4 linked regions of the Rattus norvegicus genome follow. The protein of the gene in region 3 purifies or fractionates together with the protein of the main gene of each other region. This does not show direct contact. Links are inferred from orthologs where the notes say so. Each region holds a gene or a part of one and is shown on either strand. Other genes may lie near its edges. The genes, in order: Ppp1cc, Sh2d4a, Ppp1r7 and Ubxn2a.

Region 1 (7,490 bases), on a different chromosome or scaffold from region 3:
ATGGGATTGGAACATGAATCTTTGGTGTCTCTCTGGCTGATGCTGCCTGAGTGTTTGGTATGTGTGGAGTCCTGAGTAGTCTTGAATTAATCCTATCAGGGAATATTCTAGTTGTTCTGTGGGCCGGAAGCTAGTCTGGTGTACCAAGACTGACCTCAGCTGAGTTCTTCTATGTCACCATGCAGACCAGCTGGCTGGTCCATTGGCAGGTAAACAATGAATTTCAACTACCTTCCAAGAAGAGGCCACTGGCATCTCAAACCTAGCCTTCTCTTTCAATTAAAAATTTAAAAAATGGGGCTGGAAAGATGGTTGAGAGGTTAAGAGCTCAGGCTGCGGGGTTGGGGATCTAGCTCAGTGGTAGAGCGCTTGCCTAGGAAGCACAAGGCCCTGGGTTCGGTCCCCAGCTCTGAAAAAAAAAAAAAAAAAAGCACAGGCTGCTCTTCCAGAGGTCCTGAGTTCAATTCCCAGCATGATGGCTCACAACCATCTGTAATGGGATCCGACGCCCTCTTCAGGTGTCTGATCAGTGACAGTGTACTCACATATAGAATATTAAGTTTTTTTAATATAAGTGCGTCAGTGTAGAACCCCACAGAGGCCACAAGAGGGCCCTCAGAAGAGCCTGAGCTACAGGAAGCTGTGCACCCCACCCTGAGTGAGTGAGGAGCAGGGGGCCTACCTGCCCACCTCCAGCCCTGTGCTCCTCACCACCCAGACATTCCCTGACATCTTCAGGAGCAGCCCTTTGCCTTCTTCCTTCCAACCCATCCTACACAGGCTCAAGAGTCCACTCCCACGTCCCCCAAGCTAACCCGACAGCCCTATGATACTCAGCCAGCTCTTACCTACCAGCAGGTAGAGGCTAGGTGTGCCATCAGTCACCTGGGCTGGCCCCAACTGGGAGCCGGGCTCTGCTTCCTTCTCTCTGAACCCAGTCCTTTCTTCCTGGACTAGCACTTTTCCCTGCCCCCCAGTTTCACCTGTTACACAGATGTATGCTGTTCATGGAATGGGGGGTATGTGTGCTACACATGTATGGTACATTTGCATGTTTGCTGTGAACATGAACAGAATGGCACTGTCTCAGACAAGTTTCTACAGGTTTTGACATTTACTACTTCAACATCTAGGGACAACTATGACCTCCCTCTGTGCCTTTTTATGTTGGTGTCAGGAAGACTTGCTACAGTGAGCTCAGAGGAGCTCAGGTAGGTCTAACTCAGCAGGGACGCCCATACCCTCACAACTATGACTTGCCAGGGCTGTGGCTCTGCCACTCACCCAGCTGGAGAGCCAGAAGCTGAGAGAAAGGGGCTCCCTGGGTTACAGCATGCGGAGAGATAGAGGAGGGAGACTATCAACGCCACGTTGTCTTCTCTGCTCAGGATGCCGTGACGGAATGCCAACCACCACTGTGGGCTGACGCCCTTCGTGGCCTCTGACCTAATCAATGGCTCAGATTTCTCTTCCTCCCTCGAAGTTTACAGAACCTCAGGTTCAAGCTGAAGGAAGCGTGCTGGAAGGGGAGTGCCTAGGAAGACAGCCCCCTCCTTCCAGGCCACACAGCTATGAGCCAAGCCCCTCCCAAACCACGTGCATATAGAAAGACAGAAATGGACTCAGTGGCCGATGACAGACAGACATACACGGACAGGTTAACAAGCTCGCATTTAATAAGTCTGAAATCATTCTTAGCACATGGCATTGTACACGGGCATCTGTGGAAACAGATTCATTTTAACAGGTCGTAGTTTAAAAAAGTCATAGATACTGTGAGTTCTGTATAAACCGGTGGACGGCAAGTTAGTTCCTTTTGATTTATAAGCCTCAATGTCACCGCAGAATAAAGAATGTAGCCAAAGAAAGCATTATCGATCACTCGTATAGGACAGTGTTGTTTCTATAATTTGAAGCTTTCTGAATGGACGGGTTCAGGCCTGATCCAACTGTAAAAAGATTACTCAGTGAATAGACTATATGGGCACTGTACAATGTCTCATTAACTTCCACCATTAATAGCTTACCCAGCACTACATCACTATTGCTAGTTAAAATAACCTGCTTCTTTCTGAGTCCCCACGGAGGCGGCCTGTGCACGCAGCCTTGGTGCCCTGGCCACCTCATGTCCAGGGTGTGCCAATACAGTCCAACAGAAACTTTGGCTTTAGGAAGGAATCACAGACATTGAAAAGAATGGCTTTAATCGTCAGTTAAGTGTGCAGTGGGAGGGAGTGTGCTTCAGACAGCCTGGGCAGTGTGGGTGGCAGGGTGGCAGGTTGCTCCTGCTGCCACAGCTGCAGACACTAGTTTGTACAGGATGAGACAGTGAGGGAAAGCAGTCCCTGTCAAACAAACTTGGAAAAACTGTTCACAGTGGTTTGTATCAACAGAATGCATTTATGACAATTACATGTACAGACTCACGCACCCTAGGGCTCTCTTTATATCCTAAAGAAAACAAGCATTTACATTATTCATGATTCATACTAAATTTAAAAAAAAAGATCAATTGTACACTTTCCCCTCGGACAGGATAAACTGCCAAGGTGTACAGCTTAACACCATCATCAGAGCTGTCCACAAAGGGAACAGAGGTTAAAAACAAACAAAACAAACCGCTTTCTTGAGAATGAAATGCTTCACTTGCTGCTATAACCAGCAAGTGCCAGCAATAATCAAAATGGAGAAGGGAGGGCCCGACAGGTCTACCTGGGCAAGCTGACCAGCACACATCACAGTTTAAAAAGGAAGGTTATGTACGCTATGTTACAAGTCCCACTAGGCAGTGTCAAGTGACATCTATTTCTTTGCTTGCTTTGTGATCATACCCCGTGGCGGTGTGACAGGTCTCGTGGCATTGGGCTTCTTTTTCTCTGCAGGCTTTAAAATCTGAGAAGAGGAAAGAACCAAGAACCTTAGGAGCCATACCTGGACCTCAGCCTTGTTCAGAGCTCCCATCCCGAGGTTCTGTCTGATGCTGCCCCAGTGCTGAAAGCCCCTCTAGGACAACACTGACCCAACCGGCACCTGGGCACCGTAGCGGAGACTCGCCTGATGCACAGGCAGAACGTGTGACCTGGACAACAGTGTCTGCCTGGACAACGTGACAAACTCAAGCCTACAACTTCCCTCAGCCTTGAAGCTCCGTGGAAGGCACTGAGGTTTGCAGTCTCTGGGGACTGCTGAGGCCTGCCCTGGGACTGCCACGGCTGCACTAACATTTTCAACTGTGTGAGCAGTGGATCAAGCCCGCTCACTCTGGGGAGGGAATGTGAGAACCGGAGCACAAGCAGACATGTTGGCACCTGAGAGGCAGAGGCAATGACTCTCTATTGCATTCAAGGCCAACCTGGTCTACAGGTGGGTCCCAGGACAGCCAGGGCCACTCCAACTCCCTCCTCTCAACAAAAGCACTGACTAAAGCTACAACACATTGCTTGTTTTCACACACTAAGAATTCAATTACACTAAGTCAATGCTGGGAAAACGGCCCTGTTTCCTTTCTTAAGAATTCTTGAGCCCACACATTACTCCTATGGGACAAATGTGCTACTAAAGAAGAATGGGCAGCTTGCTCAGGAAACAACAGGAAGAACTTCCTCGGGAGGTCAGCAAAGCTGCTGCAGTCTCACCTGGAAGGAGCACATGAGGGTCTCATCCACACTCATCATGGCGCCCGCATTGTCAAACTCGCCACAGTAGTTGGGTGCAGAAAACAGAGTGACTAACTGCCTCTTTGCAAAAAACTCATATCCATCTTCAACCACCTGTGGAGAGACAGCGTCAGTGTGAGCAGCTGGAAGCCTGAGCCGCTCCATTCTCCTTCCCCACTGAGCTTGGCCTCCTGCGGCTCTCCCCAGAGGCACACTGTGTGGCAAGCCATACCTACCCACCAAAATCAACAAGGAGAATCTGCTCACACACATGCTCTAAGTGTACATGTAAAATTCAAAATCAATACCTGATGGGCTCTACATATAAGATCCAAATCATGCTTATGGAGAAATTTTGCAACCACTTCTGCACCAAATGTGAAGGACACTCCTCTGTCATTTTCACCCCAGCCTAAGACATCTTTATCGGGGTCAGACCACAAAAGATCACAAAGAAGACCTTGATCTGGTACATCAGTTGGTCTCATAATTCGCCGAATCTGCTCCATAGATTGAAGATCTGGTGATAAACCTATTCAACGAGAAAGGAAAACCCCTAAAGCACAAACGGCATGGGCACGAGCATGCGGCCAGCCCCTCCTGCTGCAGAGGCTGGTGCTGCCTCGCTGCGCTGCCGTGACATCTGTGGGTTTTTTACTTGGTTTTAGGGGAAATAATTCAGGAAATGTACTGTACTGATGTTGATGTGCAGGGCAGAGACACTACTCACCTCAACACAGAGCCCTGTAACACCCAGCCACTGCATCCACACTTCTCCCAACAGAAGGCAGCAAGGAAAACACACAGGGCAGGCACCACCCTGACCAACTGCAGTGGCTGGGCACAGGGACAACGCGTCCAGATGTGAGGCAGCTCCCATCTGTTGTCTGAGCAGCCAGAGTCCCTTTCTCTTTGTGCCCATCCACCAGAGCGGGGACCACACCACACACACTCTATGGTTCTTAGATAGCTGCTTCATTTCTAGTGCCACCCCCTTTACTACCACACAGCACAGCCATGGAGCCATGCTTTGGAAAGACCCCGCCCCCACCCCCCAGAAGGGTTCAGGCAACACACGGCTGAGCAGATGCACCAGGGCTCGTTCTGTATTTAAGGTCACAGTCGATTCCCAACCTAGAACCCATTTCCCTCGGCTTGACCCACATGACCTGGCTGTGTCACTGTGAACAGGCCTTAGTGCAACAGTGGCCCAGCCAAAGCCATCATGCCCAGTTGACTTTCCAGAAGCAGGGGAAGCTGCACAGGTGAAAGAGCCACATACCTCCATGACAGCAGAATATCTTCTCGTCCACGATGGCTGCTATCGGTAAGCAGTTAAAACAGTCTGTGAACGTTTTCCACAGCTTAATGTTGTATCTTCTCTTACCTGTGAGAATGCAGACGGTCACCCCACTGTTCTTCACACCTTTCAAGTAACTCAAACATGCTGGTCCCCACAGGCCCTACAGCCTCAGGGGTCTAGGACACAGGACTCATCTAGAAGCAACCAAAATACGTTCCCATAGAGTTCTAGACAGGGGCACACCTCAGTTTGCCACAATTAGTGGGCAGTGCCCAATCTATTTGAAGTCTCATTTGTTCTGTCTAATCTTGACCTTGAGGAAACTTGTGACTTCTGAAGGCAACCGCCACCAAATCCTCAAGGTCCGTCACCTCTTTCTTCCTGCAGGGGCCTGAGCTCTGAAGCTTCCTGCAACCAGACAGAAGCCCCACTCCAACTCCAGGAGGTCCAAGTGTTCAGTCCTAACATACAGTCTGCACTCAGTACACTCCCTTGAGCACCAGGGCTATAACAGGGTGTCAGAATGTGTCCCCTTTAAAACCACTGTATAAAAATTACTGTTTGGGGGTTGGGGATTTAGCTCAGTGGTAGAGCGCTTGCCTAGGAAGTGCAAGGCCCTGGGTTCGGTCCCCAGCTCCGAAAAAAAGAACAAAAAAAAAAAAAAAATTACTGTTTGAGTCACAACTCACTCATAAGCCATAGCAACTACCAAATTCTCTTTAATTGGTCAAGGACTGTGCATGCTGGGGAGCCTCTGTCTCCTGGGCCACCCCACACTCACGTACCACCATGTTGTGTTTGTCCCTACACTAAGACTCTATCTTCTTTACCGGAGGATACAGGGCCATCTAAAGGCCTAGACTACTCCTTGGAGAGCAACAGCCTTCTTAAGCCGTGCCTTTCAAGCTGGGCAGACCTGACCCCCACCCCCACAAGCACTCAGATCATCATTCCCTGTAAAAGCTTGCATTTCAGCTCTGAGGAGGTCACAGATTCCCTGGATAATTCTGGAAACTTAAATGAACAGAGCCAACAACCTCCAATTACCAATAGCTAATGGTAATAACATCAATGCGGAAACTGAGGCCAGACGGCCTTGACTCCATTCCAAAGTCCATCTGGTCCTGTCCCATTCTCTGCTGACAGTGTCTGGACAATCACTCATGCCTTTCTTCCCTGAGGGCTGGATTAAGGCTCTGTGTGTGAGCTGAGAAGACTCCATGTTGACTACCCAAGCTCCCTGCCGCAGTCTAGGACACATGGGCAGCCCTAACTATAAGCTCCTGCATGTGTGTACATTAGCAAGTGCTAAGCCAACGAACTCGTAAGCACCTGCCATCCCAGCCCAAACCCTTTCCCGGCAGAAACAGCCCGGAGGACAATGCAGCCAAAGTCTCAAAACTTGTGACATTTTATGTTTATGTGAAGTAACACAAGCTCTCCACCAAGCCACTTCGTTCTTTCCACACCAACTTCTTTCTAAGGCTTTGGAAGCGTTTTTCTCGATGATGAACTCAGAGCACAGCTTCACTAGATAATCCAGGGCTGTGTGGGGTGGGTGGCTGACACCCCCACCCCAGGTCAGGAAGCTACAACTGGGACCAAGGCTAAGGTCAACACGGGCTACTCAGCAAGAACATTTCAGAAAAAAAGTAACGTGAGATGACCCCAAATATGAGAATATGCACAAAGTATTATTTTAAAAATAAAACTCGGGGGAGAGATGGCTCAGCGGTTAAGAGCACTGACTGCTCCCCCAGAGGTCCTGAATTCAATTCCCAGCAACCACACGGTGACTCACAACCATCTGTAATGGGATCCGATGCCCTCTTCTGGTGACATCACATACATGAAATAAATCTTAAAAAAAAAAAACAACAACAAAAAAAAAACCGTGGATGGATGGATGGGTGGATGGATGGCAGGCAAAGCTGGGGAACGGTGCAGTAGCGGAGGAGGTAGGATGCTCGAGGTGCCAGCGTGGCAGCCCCAGTCAAGGTGGAGACAGCACGAGAGAGACTCCGGCTCCTCCATCCTTGCATTCAACACCAAAGACAGACTCGAAATGAAAATGTAGGCTTTAAAGCATCTCTTTCTCCATTATGCTTATCCCAGAAAAGTTGATGTCCCTTTCCTAAATATAGCTGCACTACAGGAAAACCACACCGTCCATTTCAAAAACAAATCGTTTCATTGCAGGATCCCACCCACAGACAAGGCTGGGCAGAGCAGACCAGCACTCCCTGCGGCTGTGGCCCTGTTCTCAATTCCCAGGCCACTGACCCGCAGGCTTCCAACAGATGTGCTATCTGGAACCAATCTAATCAGAGCTGTGAAAAGCAGAGCAAATGGAGCCAACAGGTTCTCGGAACTGCACTAAGAGCATGTGCGCCACCAAGACTCTTCCCCTCCAACCCCATCAGCACCCATGCAGGCAGCAGTCCCTAAAACCAGGACATGAGCAGGAGTGCCGCAGCAGCTCTGACTCTCATAGGCCTGCCGCCCACTGCCTTCCAGCCCCTCCTCCTCAG
Region 2 (8,148 bases), on a different chromosome or scaffold from region 3:
CTACGAAGAGCAACAGTCCAAATCAGGGAGTATAATATGTAGTTTCTGGACAGGAGCAGGCTAGTAAAGAAAGCCAGAAGGAAATACAATATAGTTTTCCATTTCAAAGAGGGAGAAAGCCCAGGTGTGTCTAGCTATAAGTTTGTATAACCTCTGTTCCATAATAGATACTTTATTGCAAAAAACAGCAACTTTGTACAGGCTGATTTCAGAGAAATAGAAATTTAACAGAGGTTTGTTTGGCCTCCTCCCAACTGAACAAACACATTATTTCCCCAGTGCCTCCCGGCTGCCAACAGCATGGCTGAAAGAAATCAACAACAAAAAACAATAGCAAAGGACCACCAGGGAAAGTTAAAATACCCTCCTCCGTGACTACTTCCAAAAAGAAAATATCACGTTTGAGACACTTTTAGAGGAGCAGAGCCATCTTACAAGTTAAAAAAAGGGGGGGGGGGTAATTAAGAGCAAGAGCACAGTCTTACGTACAACTGTGTACCTTCTCCTTTACAATGGGCATTTCCAGACACCCCAGCAGCTCACACAAGGAAAGCAGAACAAGTGCAGAAGAGAACATGAGGGTTCTGGAGGGTCAGCGCTCTTAGGTGTCTCCTTTCCAGATAACTTAGTTTAGTAACATTTACATTTCAGTCCAGATATTGTGGGCAGGAGGGAGAAGAGGCCACGGGCTTCTGTCTTTGACTTAAAAGTTTGTCAGGAGGCTCCTTCAGAAAGAGGCTGTGGAATGAGGCACACATGGTGTCACGGGGGTTGAGCTAAGGGGTGGCAGCTCCTTCGGAGTCTCGGTTTATTTCACATAGTTTTATGTAGTTAGATTCTTTTAGATGTCAAACCTTCGGGCTCTGTGTTTGTCCATGGCATGCATGTATGTACAAATAGGTGTGTCACGGGGGACAATCTCAGGTGTTAGCTGTGGCCCTCCACCTTCTTTGAGACAAGATTTCTCTTTCGCTTGTTCAGCCGTGTGTAGACCAATCATGCAGGTGACTAGAAAGCTCTGGGGTATCTCCTGTCTCCATCTCTCCTCTCACCACAGAGGCACTGGGATGAGGCTTTAATGCAGATTCTCGTGCTTTATTTACCCACTGATCCACCTTCCCAGACCCAAACTCATACACTTTTATCAATAGAAAGAAGTATTATATATGCATGTATGTGTATGCATGCAGTCTATCCACAATATATATTCTTTATATATTCTGGAGAAAAGAGATTTAATTTGTTTCAAATGTCATAGGACAACACAAGTCTTCCTAGGATAGCCATGTCTTCAGGCTCATCTATGTTGTAAAAGTCAACTACAATGTCTACGCCTATAATGCTTCCAAAATCTTGCCTCTGTCCGTGCTCACTCAAATACCTTGATTTCCCATAGAAAGCAATACACACTTAAACTTGAGAACAGTTACCGGGCAACATCCTGACTATTGTAGTCTTGACTCTCCCTGCCTCTTCCTGTCTTTCTGAGTCTTAATCCTTTCTCTTTCCCTCCCTCCTCCGTTTCCTTGTAAAGCAGCCTCTTGAACAACAGTCCTTTGAGACAGCGCACTCAGTAGTCAGGTACCACAGGACATCTCAGCATTTGGATTCACTACTCATTGCATAGCAGGGCCCTGCAGGTTCCTACCCGCACCCTATTTTCTTCCACACCATTTTTATGGAGTTCAAATGGAGCACGATATTAAGAGGAATGTTAAACAGTGTTAAAATTAGTATCTTGACTGTAACTCAGACAGGCATATCCCTCCCATGGCCCCTAGTTAAGCTTCCATATTGCCTTGGGATGGTCTTCAAAGGGTTATACAGTGAAGAGTCAATGTCTTGTGGTATTTTGGTTCTAGCACAGTCTCAGGGAATACAGCAAACCAAGTCCACTCAAAAGGAAGGGTTTACGGAAGACATTCTTCTCCCACAGGAAGAATCTGGTTCTTTGGCACATGTGACTTCAAGGTCCTGAGGTAAACGAGTAAAGTAAACAAAGCAAATGACTCCCTGAAATTCCAGGAATCATCCAGAAATGATTCCATGGCTGCAGTGGTTGACGCCCATTGAAGAGCACAGACACACACACACACACACACACACACACACACACACACACACACACACACGCCCAGCTGATGGGGTCTACACCTTCTACTCTCGCCCCCCTTCTGTCCAGTGAATATTCTTGAAGGATCAGAGAGAACTGAAAATTAACTCCCTCAAAGAGCCAAGGGCACATTCCTCCAGGAATGATTTGGCTCCAGGCGCTCTCTGATAACAGAACGGACACTTAACTGTTTCCTGCACTACCATAAGCACTCAGCAAGAGTTAAGTCCCTCACTCCTTCCACTGTAGTGCCAAGAGGAACTGAGGAAGACAGTGAGGGGGAAGCACAGCAGTTACTGTATCCACTGCACAGACTGGCTGCTACAAGTTTACTCCTGAGTCCAGAATCAGGAAGTGATTGGTGCCACTTTGAAATTTTCCGGACAAAGATCAGAAAATGTCCTTGGGAAGAGAACTTTAAAACTGGAGATACCTCAGCTAGTGCGGAAGCCTACGGTAATCAAGTGTAGATAAGCTTAGAGAGGCCACAGAAGAAAATACACCATCCAGGAAGGAGCACAGAGTTGCTACCCGCATTGGTCCAGTGGTGACTTTGTCTTCCTCTTACTCTCCACTTGCCTTGTTCCACCAACATTCCCTTCCCTGGTACTCCAGTAAAGAGGTGCGCAACTCTCTTCTTTGTTCTGCTTTGCTTCGGGTAGCTTGTGTAACATAGACTTCAAGCATCAAGGTTGGTTGGCATGTTTTGTTTTGTGGTCTGAGGATTAAACCTGACCCTTGCACATGCCAAGCAAATTCTCCGCTGCTGAGCTGCACCCCCAGCCCCCTTTACTTTATGTTTTGAGATGGAGTCTAAATTGTCCAGGCCAGTTTTTAATATAACCTAGCCTAAACAGGCTTTTGACTTTCCACACTGGCTGTCTTTATTTCTCAAATAATTGGGATTATATAGACCCTAACCACCAGGGCCAGTTTAATCCCTTTTGAAGAAAATACCGTGGTTCCTGGTGGCCTCAGGGAATACAAAAGAAACCCAGCTAACAAGTGCCTGTGGCTGTTGACTATGGGCACCGAACTGGACTGCTGATTGGCTCTGAGTGATGTCAGTTAACCAGCTCTCCAAGGCTTTCCTAGAGCAGACCACAGCACAGCTACAGACAGGTTCACCAGCTTAGATTCCCGGTTCTGCCTCCAGTGACCCATGACTTTGGAAGGTCACTTCACATCTTTAGACCCTGTTTCTTAATCCATAAAACTAACCTGAGGATCATTGTAGCTCTTGGATCCTGAGATAAAATCTGCCTTGAAGCTATTGAGACAAGTACAGGAAATGAAAAGGAGGAAGTGAACCTGCCAGGGGTTTTCCTACTTTCACGTTACCGGACAATCACTGTTTGGTGATGTGTGGGTCTCATACTGAGTGCAGTCACTCGTGGTCCAACACAGAGTACAGCCCAGTTAACTTGTTTTTCCTCTCCTGTGGCATTTTTCTTGAAAAAGACAACTAGCAGGGAACAAGCCCATACCTGTCACTCACTCTAAAAATTTCTGAAGAGTCCAAAATTTAGTTAAGTTCTCAGGATACCTGTAGATCTTGTCTGACTTTCACACTTTCCACTTTTCCTCACAATTGTTTTTAATTAATACAGAGCCTAATAAATAATAACAATAATGATAATAATTAAACTCTGGGTACAACTACCTTCATTAAAATATTTCTGTATTTACAGTACATATATCCCTAAAGGTAAGAACTTAGTTTGCGTTCTCTGTTGTCAGGCTTTGAATTGCTCAATATTTTTCTTATTAATTTACATGATGATTTTGGAAACAAAATGAATTGCAAGTGGTGAGAGGAGCTGGAAGTTTTGTAAATACTCTCAAGATTGAAGTATTTCATAGATAGATATTCCTAGAAAAGCCTATTTGTGCTAAATCTTCGCCTAAGTATTTCTTCCACTTATTATTAAATAAGAAAAATTATAAATACATTGTTTCTTTACACAAGCAAGAGGCTGTCATCCCTGCTTCTCTGGGACCATAGCAAAGAGAGACATTGAGAAAACCTATAAACACTGAGTGCCTCCACCTAGGGCCCATGAACCCCTTAAGGCAGGAACGGTTGGTAATGGCTCACTTTTGTTGAGGAAAATTCTGGCTAGGCTGATTCTAGATTGAGCCTTGACCCAGAACCACAGAGAGACGACGAGCCCGCTGCTCTCTGTACCACGTGAGGGCGCCCGCGGGAGCGCGGGGAACTTACTAATGGAGTTCTGCTTGTGCTGAAACCGGTTTCAGGACTCTTGTCTGGAAGGTCTCCGGGCCAGGAGACCACATGGCACTGCCCAGTGATTGGACCTCCGCTGATTTGTGGGTACTGTAGCCGACACCCAGCACCCTCTTCGTGGCTCAGACCCTCGCAGGTGGCCCCCGCTGTGCACCTGCCCCAGGCCAGTTAGCACTCGCCGCGTGTGCATGCACAGCCCGGACGGGACAACTTTCCTGAAAGACTCCAAGTCGCCTCCGATTCTCCTCCCTCTGGAGACTCTTAGTATAATGATCACAAGCCCTCTGTTCTTGGGGCCGCCACTCACCTGGACCCGGCTGCAGACACTGGACACCCTACACGAGACATCGGACACCCGCAGCCGTTGTGGTCTGTTCCTCTGGGCACCTGAGCTCGCCCTGAGCGCCGTGGAGGAGGGACCGGAGGGACAGGTGAGCAGCCTGGCCGCGGGAACCAGGGTCTCTTCCTCTCCCTGTCCTCTGTGCTTCACCCTTCGCTCTAGAGACGCATCTCCTGGTTCCCACTCCTCGCTCACCCTTCTGCCTGGCTCTATGCTCCAGCGTTTTACCCGACCCGGTCACCTACCTGCTCAGGACCCGGGGCAAGGTGGTCCAAGCACCCGCCGCCACCTCCAGATTGCCTACAGCAACTCCAGGAAGAGAAGGGAGGACAAGCAGAGAGACCCAGCCGCGCAGAGACCCAGCCGCGCGGGCTGTCTGGACAAACACTCGGGCCCAGAAGGACACTCGGCGTCCAGATCACAGCCCTGGCCCGCCCCGCCGCGCCCACATGCTGGGGTGACTGACTGGGCGCTCCCTCAAGGCCCCTCCCGGGTGCTGGAGGCGCTCCAGGGCCAGTAGGCAAGGCTTGGCTGCCTTGGTCCAGTGACAGCAAGGCCACTAGTCCTTGGCTAATCTAGAGTGCTGTCTACAGTCTGGGGTAGTTTGCCCTGACACCTCAGGGGGGGTCTGTGGGACTTACTAATTACAATTGTCCACACTTGACTTGTTAGGTGGAGCCTGCAATGGCAGGCAGGCAGGGTCCATCTGGGAACCTGGGTCCTGCAGCCAAGTTGGCTGCAGTTCTGTGACTGCGTTTCTACAGCTTACTTTTTCCTTCTCTTTTGTTGACATTAAGTAAATTATCAAACTCTGAAGCATTTGTTACTCCAGGTGTGGCTTAAGGCATGTTCAAGGAAGAGAAAGACTGGAATGTTGCAGGCTCTAGGGAAAGGGGCAGCCAGGGAGAGAAACCTGAGGGGAAAAAAGGTAGAAGTTCCCTGTGATCAGGACCAGGGTGGCACAGGGCACTGCTGAAGCCTAAGCTTATCTGGGAGGGGAGAAAGCTGAACAGAGTGGAAAAGTGGAACAGCCTTTTCCACAGGCGAGGAACCTTGGGCATGTGTGGAAGAAAACAGGGCTGGGGGTGTGTATGAGTGGGGGTGGGGAGGGATGACACAGGAGTTCAGACTGGGGAGATTGGAGAGCACTGTTATAAACAAGAAACATGGTGTGACTTTATACACCCTATCCAATCGATTTAGGAGCCTGACGTGCTGAACCCAAACGTTGTTTACCGTAGGCTTTCGCAACCACAGAAAACTTTTTAAAATTAGACATTTTATTTATTTACATTTAAAATACTATCTTCCTTCCTGGTTTCCCCTCTGCAAATCCCCTATTGCATGCCCCCTTACCCTGCTTCTATGAAGGTGTTCCCCTACCCACCTACCCACCTACCCACTCCAGCCTCACCACCCTAGCATTCCTCTACACTGGGGCATTGAGCCTTCACAGGCTCCTATTGATGCCAGATAAGGCCCCTTCAGCTCCTTCAGTCCCTCCCCTAACTCCTCCAGAAAAACTCTTAAGTTGGAAAACATTACAGGCAGGAGTTACACCCTCCACTCTGAGGAAACAAGACTTAGCCATTTAGGAATGGTGCTTGTGATACACTCAGGCAAGGATTCCTGGCTTAAAGCTTTCTCTCCACAGCACTGAATCAGGTGGCCAGATGAGGTGCTTTAGAATGGTTTGTCCTCTGCCTAGCAGCAGTATCTGCTCAGCAGGTGTCCTCACACTCCCTGGAAGCTAAGAAGCTGTACAAGTGGGCCATCAGCCACCTCATAAGCCCATGGGACACTGATGCTATCATTGGGTGCCCTCCTCCCTACTCATTCTGTCTCCAAGTCCTGACAAGCCCTTCTCGATAACAACTCCCCACCCCCACCCCCTTACATTAGCCTTACAGTTTCCCATTCAGGATAGCAGCCGTGCCTGGCTGCTTGGTTCTCTAGTGAGCCTTAAGTGAGATACTGCATGCAAAGTGCTCAGTGCATGGCTGGCTCTAATATGTTTGAATATTTACTGCGTGCCAAAGACTATTGAATGGATAGAGGCTCTTTGCACAAAGTGTTTAGAACCGTTTCTGGCATGTAATATTCAAACACAGTAGGTCATATTATTCCACATCGTATACTGTAATTGCATGTTCCTACCATCTTATAGCATGGCTATGAATTTTTGTCTCCTATCTTACCTGGATGGAGGCTGTCCCCAATCATCCTTGTTAAAGTGTGGAGGCCACTGCTGGACCAGATATTGGTCTGTGTGCTCAGTAGAACACAGCCGAAGTGGTGGTACACTGTTTCCCAGAATAGTGTGTGGTAGCAGCAAAGATTTGTTATCCCAGCACTCGGGATGCCGAAATAGAAAGACAGCAATCCAAGACCGTTGTGAGCTACTTAGTTTCAGGCCAACCTGTATTCATAGTGAGAACATATCTAAAAACAATGAGAAAGGAAAGTCTGTAGCTCTGTCCTGTCTGTAGCTCTGTCTCCTCCCTGCCATCCCTACTCCTTCCCGCTCTGTCTCCCACACCCTTGAAACATTCATGCTGAGAGATAAGAAGTTCCATATCAAGTGATCCTTTGGAGAGATCCACCCAGAGAGGCCAAAAAATGAAGGCCAAGCCCACACAGACTAAATGGGAGGTCCTCAGCTGTCGTCAAGCAGTGTAACTACAATACTGGCATGTAGCTTCACTGAAAATCCATGATATTCCTCAGTTAAGACACTCTCAAATTCCTCATCTGTACACTTAAAGACAGGCCATTTGTACTGTAAGTTAGCAATTTGGAGGTAGTTTCTTACACAGAAATAGATAACCAATGCACCCTCTTAGTAAGCTAAATTTAATTAGTATGCATGTATCGAAAATGACCCTTACGACTTATTTAAACACTGAAATAGCTTATGTAAATTCCGAGCCTAGGCCTCAGCCCAGAGCTAAGAAATAGAACATTGCAGAGTCGTGGCACCTGCATGTCAAACAAGTACTTCAGGCGATCCTGTCAAAAGAGAGGGGGTGGATCCTTCTCTCAGAGTCTGTACCACAGGCTGTCCAGGCTGTGAATGAAGCTGTTATTTCTTTTCAGTAAATAATCCATCCACCATTCAGTTGTTGAAACATTTTCGACGCTCGCCCTCTTTCCTGCCCAAAGAATGAAGGCCTAACTGCTGGCCAACTTTCTGCAACCAGGATAATCTAACGCTGAGCTTTTTCGGCCGTATCGCCTTGCTGCCAGATACCCTACCTCCATGTAATCTGTTGCGTTCCAACCCTTAAACCTACAACCTCTGCAGCCTCACACTGGGTCCATTGTCTAAAACCTTACTCCACCGCTCACTTGGGAAGAAATTCACCTCCCCTGAGCTATCAGCTTTTAGGATATTTCTTTGCCCGCCTCTCATCCTGCCACATAGAAAGCAGTCTTTATTGTACCCAC
Region 3 (8,073 bases):
TCCCCTGCAGGGCCTAGTCTATCCACACACAGAAACACCAAGGTACACAAGGACTACTCCAGGCCAGCATGGCTCAAAACAGAAAAGGCTGGAAAACTAGACAGCTAAGAAGCCAGGTAGGCAAGAAGAGAGGAGAGAAGAAAGAGGGAAGAGAGTCAAAAAGAAAATATACCTTAAATATTCATCAAGAAGAAAGGAACTGTGTGCAAGAACCAATCTTGGCAGTACGCGGTGAAAACCTTCAAATCCAAAAGGTTTATCTGCAGCAAGATTCCTTTAATATGAGAAAAATCTAAATACACTGCTTAAAAATATACACACACAGGATAAGAGTCCAACAGGACTGAAGACTCACGCTTCAGGCAGACAGTCCTCGTGAGTCTGGCAGAGCACTTAATATGGAGGCAAAATGACAGTCTCCTACTTCCTCAGTTAGTTAGGTGGGTTTACATGTGTTTGTTTTAACTGTTTTAATACATCTGTGTGTGTGTGTGTGTGTGTGTGTGTGTGTGTGTGTGTGTGTGTATGTGAGAGAGAGAGAGAGAGAGAGAGAGAGAGAGAGAGAGAGAACACACACCTATGTGTGGAGGGCAGAAAACAACTTTAAGGAGTCACTTCTTTTTACCACATGGGTCCCAAATTGTCAGACCTTGGAAGCAAGTGCCTACTCATAATACTGGGCTCAAACTGTAAGACTTTGTTTCCTTTTTTTTGTTTGTTTGAGGCAAGGTCTCCAGAGGCACTGGAAGTCTGGGAAGACACCATCAGCCTGATGGTGGTATTTTTGTGTGAAGCTAGGTATCAAACCCATAGCTCGCCACCTGTTAGGCACATCCACCACTGACTGATGAGGTATGACTCTTTGCCTTTAGTATTCTGCACATTCCATACACGGGCACATGCACCCCATATGTGATCCCAGAAAGCAACAGCTCATTACGAAACAAGATTAGCTACATAATGTTCAAGGCTGTATATGACACCACCAGGCTTGAACAAAATAAGGATGGGTAGGAGATAGAAGTTTTCATGTAGAGCATTTTAATGTCACAGATGTACATCTTCTCTAGGTAGCCAAATGCACTAATAACTGCTACATCAAACAGTGATACGACCATACTGGGTTTTTTTCTATTTTTAAAACCACCCTACAAAGAAGGTTAGGACATTTAATCACGGCTTCTAAATACACTGCCAATGTCACAAAATCTTACCTTTGTTTTTTTTTTTTTTCAGAATTTGTATAACTTCAGAATATACTGTTATAAAATCTTAATTTATATTAAAAAATTCTTCAAACTAAATTGTTAATGCTACAAATTTTTATCTTAAAAGTAATTACAGGGGGTTGGGGATTTAGCTCAGTGGTAGAGGGCTTGCCTAGCAAGCGCAAGGTCCTGGGTTCAGTCCCCAGCTCCGAAAAAAATAAAAGAAAAGAAAAGAAAGTAATTATAGGAACTGGGTGGCTCCCTCTGTTAGAAGCTCTTGCTAATGCAAACGTGAGGACCTGAGTTTAAATCTTTAACCACATAAAAAGCCAGTCATGGCCGCACGTAACTGCAGTCCCAGCATTAGGGGGTGAAGATAAGTGAATTCCCCAGAGCTCACTGGCCCGCTACTCTAACCTTAAAGCAAAGCTTCCAGTTCAGTCAGAGACTTTCGGGCGCTGGCGGCTCCTGAGCGCGGGTCAAACGGCCGGAACCCGCCACCACCCCGGGGACCGGACCCGGCGGAGGGAGTGCGCGCGTGCGAGGTTACGGCTACTCCACCTCGACGCAGAACTGAGCCACGCAACCACCCGGGGCTCCTTAGAAAGCTGGTGTCTCACCTGAGGCCGGCGCAACTCTCAGCCGGATTCACACCGTAAAGATCCGCGCGCTTCTGCCCCACCGACCAATCGTAGGCAGAGTAACAAGGGGTCAAGAACCAACCAGACACCTTGATGGGCGGGCCTCAGTGAAAGCAAGCTGCTGAGCGCGCGCAAACGGTTGCTAGGGACGCGCTGGACGTCCACTACAGTGCCTCGGAGGAGCCAAAAGAAACTGGTTTCTCCGGCCCCCTCTCACCCCTATCACGCCAAGTGACTGCAGTTCACTCCTACAGCGGAACCGAGGACGGTGAGCGACGTGCAGCCCTCCTTTTGGCGGCCACATTCTCAAGGCGAGGACGATGAGCAGAAGCGGACGATAAGGTGGTTCTCTGTGGGCCGGAGGCGGCGAACGCGCGCCCCCGAAACCGAGCCGTGGCCTCTCTCCCCTTCTCCAAGCATCCGCTAAAGGCAGCACTTGGCGCCAATATATCAGCGCGCAGGCGCGGAATAAACTGTTCTCCCTCGCCTACCTGCTCACGGTGCAGACACACAGCATTGAGGCTCCGGAAGTCGGGGCATGTCTATTCTGTTTTACCTTTGGCCTGTAGAGCTCTCCTGGCCTCAGTAACTTTACGCCTCCGAAGTCAGCACAGTGACTTGAGCGAATCTGCAAGCTTGAAGTGTCTCCCATGCTGCCTGATGACTTTCCGGGATGTCTACGTTCGCCGTGCTCGCCTAGACTCCACTCATTCATCAAACCCCTAACTCGGGGGGGGCCGGGCCCTGGGGAACTACAATTCCCATGAAACACTGCGACCACGCAAGCGTGTCAGCTCGCGCTTCTATACTTTGTTCCATTGGCTGGCCGACTGGACCTGGAATCCTGATTGGCCCATGGCCTGAGGCGACAGATTCCGGAAAGGGGAAGAGCAGCCAATATGGCGGCGGAGCGCGGCGCGGGGCAGCAACAGTCGCAGGAGATGATGGAGGGTGAGCGGCCCCTGTGGGCGACCCGGGAGCGGCGAGCTGGGGGCTGGGCGGGCACGGCCTCTAGTCGGATCGGAATTCGGCCTCCGGCCACAGCCACGAAGCTCTGACAGCTGCCAACATGGCTGGGCAGTGCCGGGGAGGCTCGGAGACGGGAACCCCGGCCCGAGAGCGGTAGCGGCCAGAAGGACCATACCCCGGGGAACAACGTGGCGCGAGCCCGCCCAGGGGGATTGGCGAGAAAGCCGTGGCTATAGGAACCTGGTCTTAAAGCTCCGAGATTGACAGGCGAGGGGGCAGGGAAACTGAGGCTTCAGGCGTGGGGACTGTAAAGTCCAGTTTGTTCACGCGGCATGGATGGAAAAGAGTCTGCTCTGGAAGCGAATGGGTTGTGGCAGAGGGTCGGGTAAAAAAGAGCTCCGGAAATTGATTTTACAAGGCGTTGTCTTATTTTTCTATAGTCTCGAAAAGACTATATTCAACTTTCTTCCTTCAGTGTGTTGGATTATGTCATCGTATACATGTGTAAATACACATGTAACACATGTATATGCTTTTGTATACAGTTGTGTAGATACGTGATCGTTACATGCATGTATGTGAGTGTATGTATTCACACAGACTTGTACATATGTACATGTACTTGCCCCACCTGCTGTAGCATTAGGCGAATCTTAAAAGCCTTTGAAAGACTCCTCTACTTCGGTGAGGATCGCTCACTTCTGGAAGATCACTCACTTTTCGGGGAAGAGTGCTAGGAAAGAGAGTTGCAGAGCAAGGGACAGGGATGTGGAAGAGAAGAGCGGTGAGTTTGAGAGCAGTGATCCCTTTCTGAGATGGGCCCTGAAAAATGACTAGACGTCACCCAGCCTGGGGTCACATGGGGAAGACCAGTATCATTCCAGAGAAAGGAAACCCAGTCAAAAGCAAAGGCGTATGGAAACATGACCTAAATAAAGTCATGCAATGGGGAGTAAGGAGAGCCAGCAAGGCTGCCCAGAGAAGTTCTTAGAGAGACTTGAAGGGAGTCATCCTAGAGGTCTTTTGTTTCTAACCTTTGACTCTTTCTTAAGTGAGGAAATGCTTCTTCTGTCCCCCTCTTCCCTCCTCCAGTACACCTCTCCCCTCCCTCCTCAGTAAAGGGCAAATACAAAAGCCAAGCTTTTCCTCTCTTCCACTCCCACACATGTCATTACCAGCTGGTACTTAGGTTTCTATGGCCCTATGTCTTTTTGGAGATTCGGAGGGTGGGAGTGTTGTTTGGTTTGGTTTGAGAGCCTGGTTTGGTTTGGCCTTGTTGTTGTTTTGTTTTGTTTTTAAAGACGGCCTGTGCGGACCAGGCAGAGCATGTTTTGCCACCTTCTCTATCACTGCTAACCTTTACTCAAGCCTTCCTCCTCTTGATAGAGTTCATTGCCTTTTTGCTAGCCTGTTATACCCAGAGCCTCACAGTCACATTCTTGCACATTATCTCAGGCTCTGGAAGCTTTCTACTGCCCTGAGGATACAGGCACAGGGTGCACCCACTCTCCCTTCTATCCTCTGGCTCCTCCTGAGGGAGGTACAGAGCCTCATTTCCCTAACCCCAGATCACAGGATGTCCTCTTGGTAACTCATAAATTCTCCTACATGCCATAGGCATGAGCTACTACTGTTGTGCCCTTTCTCATTTGGTCCTGAAAGGGGAGGGTACTCTACTAACTCTTCTACAGAGATGAATATCAAGGTTTAGAAAGGATGATCATTTGCCAAAGCCACATCTCATTGCTGCTTTGTTCATAACTCGAAATCTGTTTATTTACTCCAAAAACACTTTGCATTGTTAACTCTGCCCTGTGGTGGTTTAACACCAGCAGTTTGCTGGGAGCATCTGGCGTTTTTGAGACCATCTCATTTTCATTCATTCTGCCCACTGTCTGATTTTAGCTGGTCTTGATTTCTTTTTTTTTTTTTTTTTTTTTTTTCTTTTTTCTTTTTTTCGGAGCTGGGGGCCGAACCCCGGGCCTTGCGCTCTACCGCTGAGCTAAACCCCCAACCCTTGGTCTTGATTTCTTTTGGAATGTGGGGCCTGAAAATTGAACCAGTTTTCTTGGCCAAATGGATAGTGAGACATCAATGAGGGTATGTGGCAGAAGGGTTCCTCTTGTGGTGGACATAACGTCAGATATGAGAGCCGCCTGGAAGGAACTTCAGTACCTGGTGTCAATAGTGTTCCCAATCGTAGATGATCCAGATTTCAGAACACTTGTCAATTCTTGACAAGCTCTTAGAGGGGAAGAATGACATATTAATTGTCTTCATGTGACCTCCCAGTTTCTGTCCCTGTATCTTAAATATTATTGGATGTGGAAGACATTCAAATGTTCATAAAATGAGTTCAGCTATTTTAGAAAAAAGGCTTGCTGACTTACAACTGTTGTTAATCTCTTTTGTGTTCCTCAAATTGTCACATGAAGTAGATGTGAATTGTCACTGATGTGTGGGTTCAGTTGACAGGCGTGTTGAATCTGAAGAATCAGGTGATGAGGAAGGGAAGAAGCATGGCGGTGGCATCGTGGCAGACCTCAGCCAGCAGAGCCTGAAGGATGGGGTAGAACGGGGCGCAGAAGATCCGGAAGGTACTGGGTTTAGTTACTTTGAACTCACCCAGCAGGGCAAGGGTGCTGTTGAAGAATACTGCTCTTTGTACACGGTGTCTCCTCACGGCAGTAGTGGTTTTCCTCAAAGGGTCCCCATAGATTGGGCAAGTGGGGATGCTGGCAGAGGGCTGCCTCAGCAAATGACGGAGTTAGATTTATGAGTACAGTGGATCCATTTCTGCTGAAGGGACAGTTCCAGTACTGATGATGTGTCACCTAGAACAGAGCCAGAAAGTGACTTTTTAACCCTTTCCTCAGAATAACAATTTGAAGAGAGCATGGCCGAGTAGTACTCTGCTTCTGTATCCTGCCGCAGTGACAAGGAATCATTTCTAATCCAACTTCAACATTTCTTCTCTGAGACAGGGTCTCACTGTCTAACCCTGATTGGTCTTGAAATAATTATGTGGACCAGTCAGGCCTCCAACTCAGAAATCTATCTGCCTCTGCCCCTGAGTGCTAGGATTAAGGGTGTGTGCCACCATGACCACATCCACCTCAACATTTATATGGTCTGAGCGTCCCCTGTCGCAGCACAGATGTTGGATAGGAAGTCACTTCATTTGTATGGTCTGAGCGTCCCCTGTCGCAGCACAGGTGTTAGGATAGGAAGTCACTCCATCTGGAACTGGTCTGAGCGTCCCCTGTCACAGCACAGATGTTGGATAGGAAGTCACTTCATCTGGAATGAACAGCTTCCTCTGGTGGTTTTATGACCTCCTCAGCAGTGACCCATGCTTAAGTGTTTGCGTAGAAAATTAGTTTTCGTGGAAAAGAATAGAGAAGACATGAACACAGAAAACTGTACGAGCTGAATTGTTAAGTTCAAAAAATATGGTATTTAATTAAAAATGAGTGTTTAGTTTTACCTGCTTAAAAAGAAAACGCCATTAGCATTGAGGATCTCTTTTAGCAGCAGGCTTGAGGGGAAACTCTGCCTCTTACATTTTCCAGATCTGTGTGGATTTATCAGGTATTCATAATTATGCATTACCTTTATAAAAATAAATTTGAAGAAACATAGCTACTTTTTAAAATAGCATTGTGCACTGTGTGCCAGCAAAGATGATTGGTAACTATGGTAACCAAATTTTAAGGCAAAAGGAGATTACCACAAAAGTACCTACCACAGTTAGTTTGGAACTTCGGAGCTGATGTCTGGAGGTGATGTGGGTGGATAAAGCAAACGGGCTCTGTCACCATTTGACAGTCACTGAAGGGCTGAGGTCTGTGCCACTGAAATATTAGGCAACCCTAAAAGACTTGGAGCATAGAACAGTATGATCCTGGGCTCTGTTTCCTGGCTAATAATGTTATTGTGATGGGACACTCATTGTAAGAAGACTCTAATGTGTGAAAGATGAGGAGAATAAACGCCCAGTGCCAGCAAGAGAGCCCTACTGCAAGGCAGGCTGATTGGGCTAGAGCCCAGCGTGCTTACAGTCCAGCTTGCTTACCTCCAGATGATAGAACATGTAGTAATTCTCTGGGAACATGAATTTCTAGTCCTCAGAGAAACTGGGACTGCTCATAATTTTTTTTCCCTAAGTTTCAGCAAAACATGTTTAAATATGTCAGTCATTACCTCCCTGTATTAACCTTGTGTGTATGTGTGTACTTGTTAACATCAGTGAAGTGTATGTGTGTGCAGGCATGTATATGAGTATGTGTGCATGCAAATGGCAAAAGGCAGTGTCAGAGGTTGTTCCTCGGGCACCGTTGGCCTTGGCTCTCACTGGTCTGGAAATTGCTATTTAGGCTGAGCTGACTGCAGCAAACCAGCATGCTCCGTCCTCTCTGGTGCTGGGATTACAAGTGCACCACCTTGCTCAGTGTTTTCTGTGGGTTCCACAGCTCAAACTCGGGTCCTGTGCTTGCATAAACACTTCACTAACTAAGCTGTCCCCCTACCCACCTACCCCCAACACCAATTTTATTTGTTTTTTATTGCTAGGGCTTGAATTCAAGACCTGAAACAGCTGTGTTATGTCCCCAAACTCAGTCTAAAACACAACTTTGATACATTCAGAAGTTCCCGTTGATAACCTTGTTCTGGATTAACCTGGTATTTCAACAGGAAACTTGGGGCTGTGAACCACATATTCTAAGGGCCTAGGATAGCCCCAGTCCCATCTTCCGGCTCAGTGCCACTGCCAATTGTGACTACGTTTAGTCTTACAGTATCTGACTTGGATGGCAGTGACCTGGCCTCCTTGCCTTCATTGTAATGCCTCTCTTTCAACAACTGAGCTTGCAGACAGTGAGCTACTGCTGTCTTTTGAGAATAAGAGGACTCTTGTAATGCCTTCTTGGTTTTATCTAGTTCCTTTTATTTAACACTAGGTTGGTCGGTATCCTATAAATTATGGGTAAACTATAGAAAACAACATATTTTAATTGGGTACTGTTGATTGTTGTAAAAAAGACATCGTGGAAAGTCAGTGAAGTTAATTCAGCCTTGTGGGGCCAGTTCTTTGTTAAGCTGGTTCCCTGTGCATATTCCTCTCTGAGACCTGCAACGAAGAAGCAAGCTGACCAGCACATAGTATGCTAATGTTTGGAGGAGCCATGGGCTGATGTGTAAGGACGTGTGATGTGTCGAGGGCGTGTGCTGGCTCCACTGCAGATGCAAGTGTC
Region 4 (7,490 bases), on a different chromosome or scaffold from region 3:
TTCCAGTTGGCACCATGCCACATTAGCCTAGTTATCTTCTAGCCCCAGTGGTTTCTCCACTCTCATTGCTAGTCACCCTGGCCATCCAGGAACTCTCTGGTCCCAGTTACCTGGTAAAATCATGACTCAACAAACTATAACCCAACAATCAACAATCAGGTTTATATGTTAAATTATCAATCCATAATGCATCCACACAATAAACTTACAACCAATTGTTAAAGATATAAACCGCCCACCTAGATAAGATAAATTTGCCTACAGAAACCCATACCAACTACTTTGGCAATTCAAGACCACCTGGATCTGGGTCATCTTTCTCAGTCTCCATCTTGATTCTTTTTCCTTCTCCCTCTCTCGCGCCTTACAAAAACTTTGTCCCTGTCTTATTTTATTACTGTCTAATCATGGCCTTGACCTAACTGGTGCCAGCCCTTACCTACATACTGACATCAACCCACACTGACTTATACTTACAATCCTTGTGTGCAGGAGGCAGAGGCAAGGAGGATCAGAATACTTCAAGACCAGCTTTGGCTAAACCCTTTCTTAAAAAACTTAGAGTTTTTCCACATACCCTCTTAGTGTCGGTCTTTAAAAAGTCAGTTGGATTCTTATAATTGGTATTATAATTGAAATACTTTTTTTAAAAAAAAGAATCAAACCTTATATAGATACGCAGTTACAAAGTTATTTTTAAAATGTTTCCTAGATATGGAGAGTTCATCAAGGTTTAATAAGTGTTACTATCTCAAAGTTAGTTGAGAATCTGAATGTGAAATCTGAATTCACTCTCCGTCTTTTCATATACCTGTTACTTTAAAGTCTTCCACCTTTGTACTATATGTGTTGGAGTTTTTACTCATACATAATTTTTCCCCCTTGACACAAGGTCTTGGTATAAAGCTCACTAAATAGCTTAGGTTGGCCTTGAACTCTAAGACCCTCCTACCTTAGGCCAAGTTCTGTGTTTACAGGCCTGTGCCACCACACTGAGCTCATGCGTGACTTTTTAATAACATATGAATTAGTCAGTTGGAAAATAGTGGTTCTCTAAGCCATGTGAATCTAAACGCTAATGGATGTCCATTATGATACATATTATATTTACTAAAATAACACTAACCTCATGGGGAAATACTGTAAGTTTGAAAAGCTGTCAAGTGCATGATAGCAATTTCCTCAAATTCTTGTTGTAGTTAAAAGTTGACTAAATAAAACGTTTGCATTTGTAACAAATACCATAAGTTATTTTCCTACTTAATTGTTCTGTGAAAGCACCTGCTAAGTCTAATGAGCTCGTATACATGTGTGCATGTGGAAGCCAGAAGTTGATGTCAGAGTCTTCTTCAATTGCTAGCTTATCTTTTTTTTAACATTAAAAAAAAAAAATCAGGCTGTAAAACTGGCTTAGCAGTTAGGAGTACTTGTTGATTTTGAAGAGTGCCTGGCTTGGTACCTGCATGGTGGTTCCCAAACATCTAGTCCCCAGATAACCCATACTCTCTGTGAGCAGACACACACGCACACATTCATACGAAACACCCAAACACATACAATACATCTAAAACAAAACAAAACATTTGGAGTACATATGTGTATATAGGTCAGAGAACAGCTAGGGAGTCAGTCCTCTCCACCATGTGGGTTGCAGATTTTTGGACCTGGCTGGCGCAGGTGCCCTTACTCAGTGAGCCATCCCTCCCTACTTCCCACTCTAGTTTTTGAGACAGGATCTCTTACTGAACCTGAAGTTCACCAATTCAGCTAGACGACTAGCCACCAAGCCAAAAGGATCCTCTTGTGTCCCTGTTTCTCCAGCCCTGGACATGAGTCTTGTAGTTTTTACGTGGCAGCTGGGAGTCCAGATTCAGGTCCACGTGCTTAGGTCTACATGGCAACCAGTCTCTGACAGTCATCTCCCTAGCGTCCTTCCATTCTACCCTTGAACTTATTACCTCGCTGAGGACAACCTGTCACTTCAGTTCTCCTGACTCCCAAGCATAGGGATCACAGATGCAGACCACTTTGCACCGTTTATGCTGTGCTGGCATTGATTTTGTGTTTACTATGTAAGCATTTTACCAGCTGAGCTACATCCTTAGCTCATCACAGATATTCTTAAATGAAAGTACCATTTATTACTTGGTTTGTATATTCAAGCAAGTAACACAATAATTTGTAAGTCAGTTTGAAGTGACTGCTTTGATTCCTGCTCAGATTTCAGCAGCATTACCTACCATTGCCTTTCTGGCACCTGTGAGAATTTAACAAGAGGAAAAGGGTGAAAAATAGCTTTCCTATTACAAAAGTAGTTTTGATTTCAGGGATCCTCCTAGAGGCCAATAAGTATCAGATATTCACCTGTTTCTTCTGTTCAGTGGGGGACAAGCATTTGGCACCAGCCTTCTCTGCTTCCTCAAAAAGGCTGTCAACAAAATATTCACAGTCCTTTTGTGGATTATCATTGAGGGGTTGATTGTCAGGAGGTCCTGTTTCACAAACCCTAAAAAAAGAAAAAAAAAATTAAGTGTTGTTAGCTCTAAGTTAATCAATCTTTGGGGAGGGCTAACTTTTGCTGTGGAAGGTATCTTTTGTATTTTAGGATCTCTAGCAGGCCATACAGTACTGATATCAAACAGTGTGGAAAGGCACAAATGATAACAAAATACAGTTATGCATATGTATGAAAATGCCACCATAAACCCACTACTTAGTAACTTAAAAATTAATTTAAGAGCCCCCAAACTAGATGTTCACTATTAAAGTATTTATGTTCATGAGTGTGTGTAAATGTGCTCATGTGTGGAAGCACTTGAAGTCAGAGAACAACTTGTGAGAGTTACGGGAACTGGTTTACTCTTTCTACCACGTGTGTCCCAGGGTCAAAGTCAGGCTGTCACTTGGCAACAAGGGAGCTATCACATTTACCACATCAAAGAGGTCAATAGGAGGTTAGAAAGATGGCTCGCGGGTTACATACTGCTTTTCCAAAGGACCTACACGTGGCAGCCCACAACTGTTACAAAGCTCACAGACGTGATGCTCTACTCTGTGTCTGAAGGCAGCTGCACACAGGGGCACCATTCCTACAGACACATAATTAAATCTCTGGAAACACATTTTTAAGGAAGATCTCAGTAGAAAGTAACATTTGTTAACGAATCTCCACTTAAAGTGCTATAATAGCCCAAAATATCTTTATAAATGCCAAATGTGTCTGTACTGGCTGGTTTTATGTGTCAACCTGACACAAGCTGAAGTCATCACAGAGAAAAGAGTCTCAGTTGAGAAAATGCCTTCATGAGACCCAGCTGTAAGGCATTTTCTCAATTAGCGATCAAGGATGTGAGGGCCCCTTGTGGGTGGTGCTATCCCTGGGCTGGGAGTCTTGGGTTCCTTAAGAGAGCAAGCTGAGCAAGCCAGGGAAAGCAAACCAGTAAGAAATACCCTCCATGGCCTCTGCATCAGCTCCTGCTTCCTGACCTGCTTGAGTTCCAGTGGTGTTGAACAGCAGTGTGAATGTGTAAGCTGAATAAACCTTTTCCGCCCTAATTTGCTTCTTGGTCATGATGTTTTGTGCAGGAATAGAAACCCTGACTAAGACAGTGTCTAACACAAGTCCAAAAGCACAAAAAAGTAGATGTTTTATTTTTGGGAGGGTCTCATATGCCCCAGACTAGACTCAAACTCTCTATGTAGCCAAGGATAACCTTGAACTACTACTGCCTCCATCTACCAAGTGCTGGGCTTATATGGTACTGGGACTGAGCGCAGGGCCTAATGAATGCTAAGCAAGAACCCTATAGTTAATGTATATGCCCAGTCAAACCAAGTATGTTATTTCTGAAGGGTTCAAAACAGCTTTTTTTTCCCACCCCATCCCATCCCCAAACTCACTCACTCTCACACACACATTCTCTCTCCTCTCTCTCTCTTTTCCACCCCCAAAACATTTCCCCTCTCTCTCTCTCTCTCTCTCTCTCTCTCTCTCTCAGAAATCCTGTTAGAAAAAAATTACTGAAGAGCTGTTTTTGCTCTCCAGACATTTCCAGACAGCTCAGCTCTCTCCAGAGAAAAATTCTAAAATCTTCACTCGCTTTCTGCTAGCTTATCTCATGCACTCATGCAGACCAAAGGCCAGTTTTTAATGTCCATATCAATTCAGTTATGTAGCCCAGGTTCCCTTTTGACCATCCTATGAACAGCACCTGTGACCCCAGTCCTTTGATTCTTAAGAGACAGCAAGCAAGTTTTCTCTAACATTGCAAGAATTCAGGGATAAGTCAGACAGATAAGATAGATAACTGGGTGGGACCCTGCCCTGAAATTACCATTTTTACCACACCTCGGCCTGGACTCCTAGCGTTTCAAAATGACCTTGAACTTAGGAACCAGCCTGTCTTTGTATCTTTCTGACAAGCTGGCTCATAGTGTAATTACCTGTTTATTTAGATTTGTGAAGCTCCTCATAATTCATATTGCATCCTTATATTTTTGAATAAATGAGAAATTATAGATTTTTCAAACTCCTGTTTTCTTTGCCACAGCCTTAAGGGCTGTCCTGAAGGTCCCAGCATTTACCATTTTGCTAAAACATTAGCCACACCTTGACTCCCTGACTCAAGCTGTTTCTGATTATCATGGAGTCATCAGTGTTAACAGAGAAGACATTCCTCAGAGGAACATGAAAGAAATTATCATACAAACAAGCCTTACACCCAAAGTAGCCATCAACACTCATGGAAGCTAATACCTGGGCCCTGTCCCAAGGACTGGAACCATGACACTCTGCCCCCACCAAGACCATGGCAGGTTAGGCACTTTCTTTGCACACTCACAAGGATATTCTCCACTAATGATCACTTTAAAAGCACACTTTCTTTTCTATTTGCTTTTCAAACTGACCTCATGTAGCCCAGGCTAGCCTCAAACTATATAACTGAGGCTGGCCTTGAATTTCTGACTCTCCTGTCTCTATCTCCTGAATACTGGAATTATAAGCATGTACCATTCTACTTGGCTTTTTGTTGCTATTTATTTTGAATTTGTAGTTCATCATATAAAACATTATCTAGGATTTTACTTATAAGAAATAGATTCTGAGCTTTTGGAAGTTAGGCACAAGATTTGTATGAAGTGATGAAATATCAACATTTTGTACCTCTCACTGTTAGGAACTGTAAAATACACTTATTCATTCTGCTGCTAATCTGCCTTTCTTCTGTGCTTCTACCCACGATACTCTATAAAGATCTATTCTAAGTACTTTACATGTGCCAACTCATTCAGGCTTCACAACGGCCCTAGAAAGTGTTATTTTAATCTTAACAGATGAGGAAAAGGCTAAGTAATTTGCTTATGCAAGTCTTCTGCTCTTACCACTGTGTCAGACAGTCTCTCAAATTGTCATCAATCTTGTTATTAAAATGTTGGTGCTCAGGGTTGGGGACATAGCTAAGTTGGACATAGCTCACTCATGAGGACCTGAGTTTTGATCCCCATCACCCAGGTATGCAGGGAAGTGATAGTGAATCCCAGCACTCTCTGCAGAGACAAGCAGGTTTCTGTGAATTCCAGGTCAGCCTGGTCTACAAAGGAATTCCAGGCTAACCAGGGAAGTAGTTGAGACCCTAGCTCAACAAGTAAACAAACACATGGCAGGTGTTGTGGCTGATGAGATGGTTCATACCCACAGCAATGCTTTAAGTTAGATTCTTTTTACTCCCCAGATCATTCTTTCATGTGTGTGTGTGTGTGTGTGTGTGTGTGTGTGTGTGTGTGTGTGTGTACACACTATTATTATTACTATTGTACCTTCCCAGAACAATGGCACGAGATCCTTCTCACATAGAAACAGTTGCACTGTGAGACGATAGTCCATGATTTTCTCGTTAGTCAATATAGGTATTTAGCAGTAGATCCAGGCTCTGTGGCTCATGTTTAGATACCTTTATTTAGTTACAACAAGAAAAACTAACTCTCACTAAGAAACTAGAATGTATATGATTTGGTTTTCTCATCTCTTAGATGCAGATACTGAGTTGGGATGTAGCTGGTTGGTAGAGTTCTTGCCTAGCACTCACAAAGCCCTGGGTCATGGTGGTGCATGACTAGAATCCCAGTACTTTGATAATAAAGACAGGAAGATCAGAATTTCAGAGTGATCCTTGAGTACATACAGTATTCAAGGACAGCCAGGGCTACTGTGAGAGGGTCTCAGAGAAGAAGCCAAGATGCAAATGCCACCACAAATGGCCATGAAAATTAAAAGACAGTAAAGCTGGAAGTGGTGGTGCACACCTTAATCCCAGGGGATCTCTATGAGTTTCAGGCCAGCGCGGACTGCAGAGCAAGTTCCAGGGCTAGATATCCCGCCTTGAAAACCAATTTTTGTGTACTGTGCAAAGGTTATCTTTGTGTTATTCAAATGCTGATTTCTCTGTCCTTACATCTGATTTCCATCTGGACAGGGCTTTGTTATGTTTATTCTGAGAATCTCAAGTCTCAAGTTTGTAATCATCCAATGGCTGGGCAGAAGAGAGACTAGGGCAGAACATCTATCAAGGAGGGGGAGGGGGAGAGGGACTAGTCATAGGGAGGAAGAAAGTTATTAAGAGTTCAGCTGGACAATGGAAGCCCTAATTGCAACTATTACTTGGGAGCATGGCTGGGAAGTAGCCAGATTAGCTTAGATTTTACTGCCTAGGTATCAAGGGGATGCCTAAAATAAATCTTTTTTTTTTTTTTTTTTTTGGTTCTTTTTTTCGGAGCTGGGGACCGAACCCAGGGCCTTGCGCTTCCTAGGTAAGCGCTCTACCACTGAGCTAAATCCCCAGCCCCGCCTAAAATAAATCTTGGTATCTCTGTGTTGTTATTTGGGACTAGCAAAGGGAAAGAACTACAGAAGCTGGATTAATTCATTTTTTTTTTTTTTTTGGTTCTTTTTTTCAGAGCTGGGGACTGAACCCAGGGCCTTGCACTTCCTAGGCAAGCGCTCTACCACTGAGCTAAATCCCCAACCCTTAATTCACTTTTTATGTTTATATGAACATTAATTCATTCTACACCAAGCAAACAAAAAAGTTTTAGAAAACTTCAATAAATCAAATAAAAAACAATGAAAAGCACTGTAAATAGGTAAGATGAGTGAAGCCAAAGAAAACAATATCAGGGCTTGAAGACCAGAATTAGAGTTCAGTAAATTGGCTAACCCAGTTAAAATACTTACTGGGCAAGTTTGAGTTCAATCCCTAGAACCCATACAATCTTGGAAAGAAGGAACTAGGGGTTGGGGATTTAGCTCAGTGGTAGAGCACTTGACTAGCAAGCGCAAGGCCCTGGGTTCGGACCCCAACTCCGGAAAAAAAAAAAAAAAAAAAAAAAAGGGAAAGAAGGAACTAACTCTATGAAGTTGTCCTCGGACCTCCACATATGCATCGTGGCATGCAGATATGTATGCAAACACATGTATGCATACACACACACTA

What was found.
Region 1: the proteins of Ppp1r7 (region 3) and Ppp1cc purify together in Homo sapiens (affinity purification with mass spectrometry; 8 studies listed by BioGRID and IntAct, counting the BioPlex papers as one, with this or other methods). This does not show direct contact. The link is inferred for Rattus norvegicus from reciprocal best matches to the Homo sapiens genes PPP1R7 and PPP1CC.
Region 2: the proteins of Ppp1r7 (region 3) and Sh2d4a purify together in Homo sapiens (affinity purification with mass spectrometry; 3 studies listed by BioGRID and IntAct, counting the BioPlex papers as one, with this or other methods). This does not show direct contact. The link is inferred for Rattus norvegicus from reciprocal best matches to the Homo sapiens genes PPP1R7 and SH2D4A.
Region 4: the proteins of Ppp1r7 (region 3) and Ubxn2a purify together in Homo sapiens (affinity purification with mass spectrometry; 3 studies listed by BioGRID and IntAct, counting the BioPlex papers as one, with this or other methods). This does not show direct contact. The link is inferred for Rattus norvegicus from reciprocal best matches to the Homo sapiens genes PPP1R7 and UBXN2A.

Annotation. Positions count from the first base shown.
Region 1 is NC_086030.1:40,042,170-40,049,659, forward strand, and holds the end of Ppp1cc (serine/threonine-protein phosphatase PP1-gamma catalytic subunit), read right to left. Parts: intron 5,044-7,490; coding exon 4,939-5,043; intron 4,189-4,938; coding exon 3,965-4,188; intron 3,771-3,964; coding exon 3,636-3,770; intron 2,893-3,635; coding exon 2,803-2,892; 3' UTR 1,950-2,802; coding exon of another isoform or gene 1,879-1,949; 3' UTR 1,653-1,878; downstream 1-1,652. UniProt on the Homo sapiens protein: Protein phosphatase that associates with over 200 regulatory proteins to form highly specific holoenzymes which dephosphorylate hundreds of biological targets.
Region 2 is NC_086034.1:26,170,987-26,179,134, forward strand, and holds the start of Sh2d4a (SH2 domain-containing protein 4A), read right to left. Parts: upstream 4,989-8,148; 5' UTR 4,947-4,988; intron 4,760-4,946; exon of another isoform or gene 4,669-4,759; intron 1-4,668. UniProt on the Homo sapiens protein: Inhibits estrogen-induced cell proliferation by competing with PLCG for binding to ESR1, blocking the effect of estrogen on PLCG and repressing estrogen-induced proliferation. May play a role in T-cell development and function.
Region 3 is NC_086027.1:101,330,811-101,338,883, forward strand, and holds the start of Ppp1r7 (protein phosphatase 1 regulatory subunit 7), read left to right. Parts: upstream 1-2,686; 5' UTR 2,687-2,748; coding exon 2,749-2,800; intron 2,801-5,286; coding exon 5,287-5,415; intron 5,416-8,073. UniProt on the Homo sapiens protein: Regulatory subunit of protein phosphatase 1.
Region 4 is NC_086024.1:33,620,573-33,628,062, forward strand, and holds part of Ubxn2a (UBX domain-containing protein 2A), read right to left. Parts: intron 2,507-7,490; coding exon 2,365-2,506; intron 1-2,364. UniProt on the Homo sapiens protein: Acts to repress the ubiquitination and subsequent endoplasmic reticulum-associated degradation of CHRNA3 by the STUB1-VCP-UBXN2A complex in cortical neurons.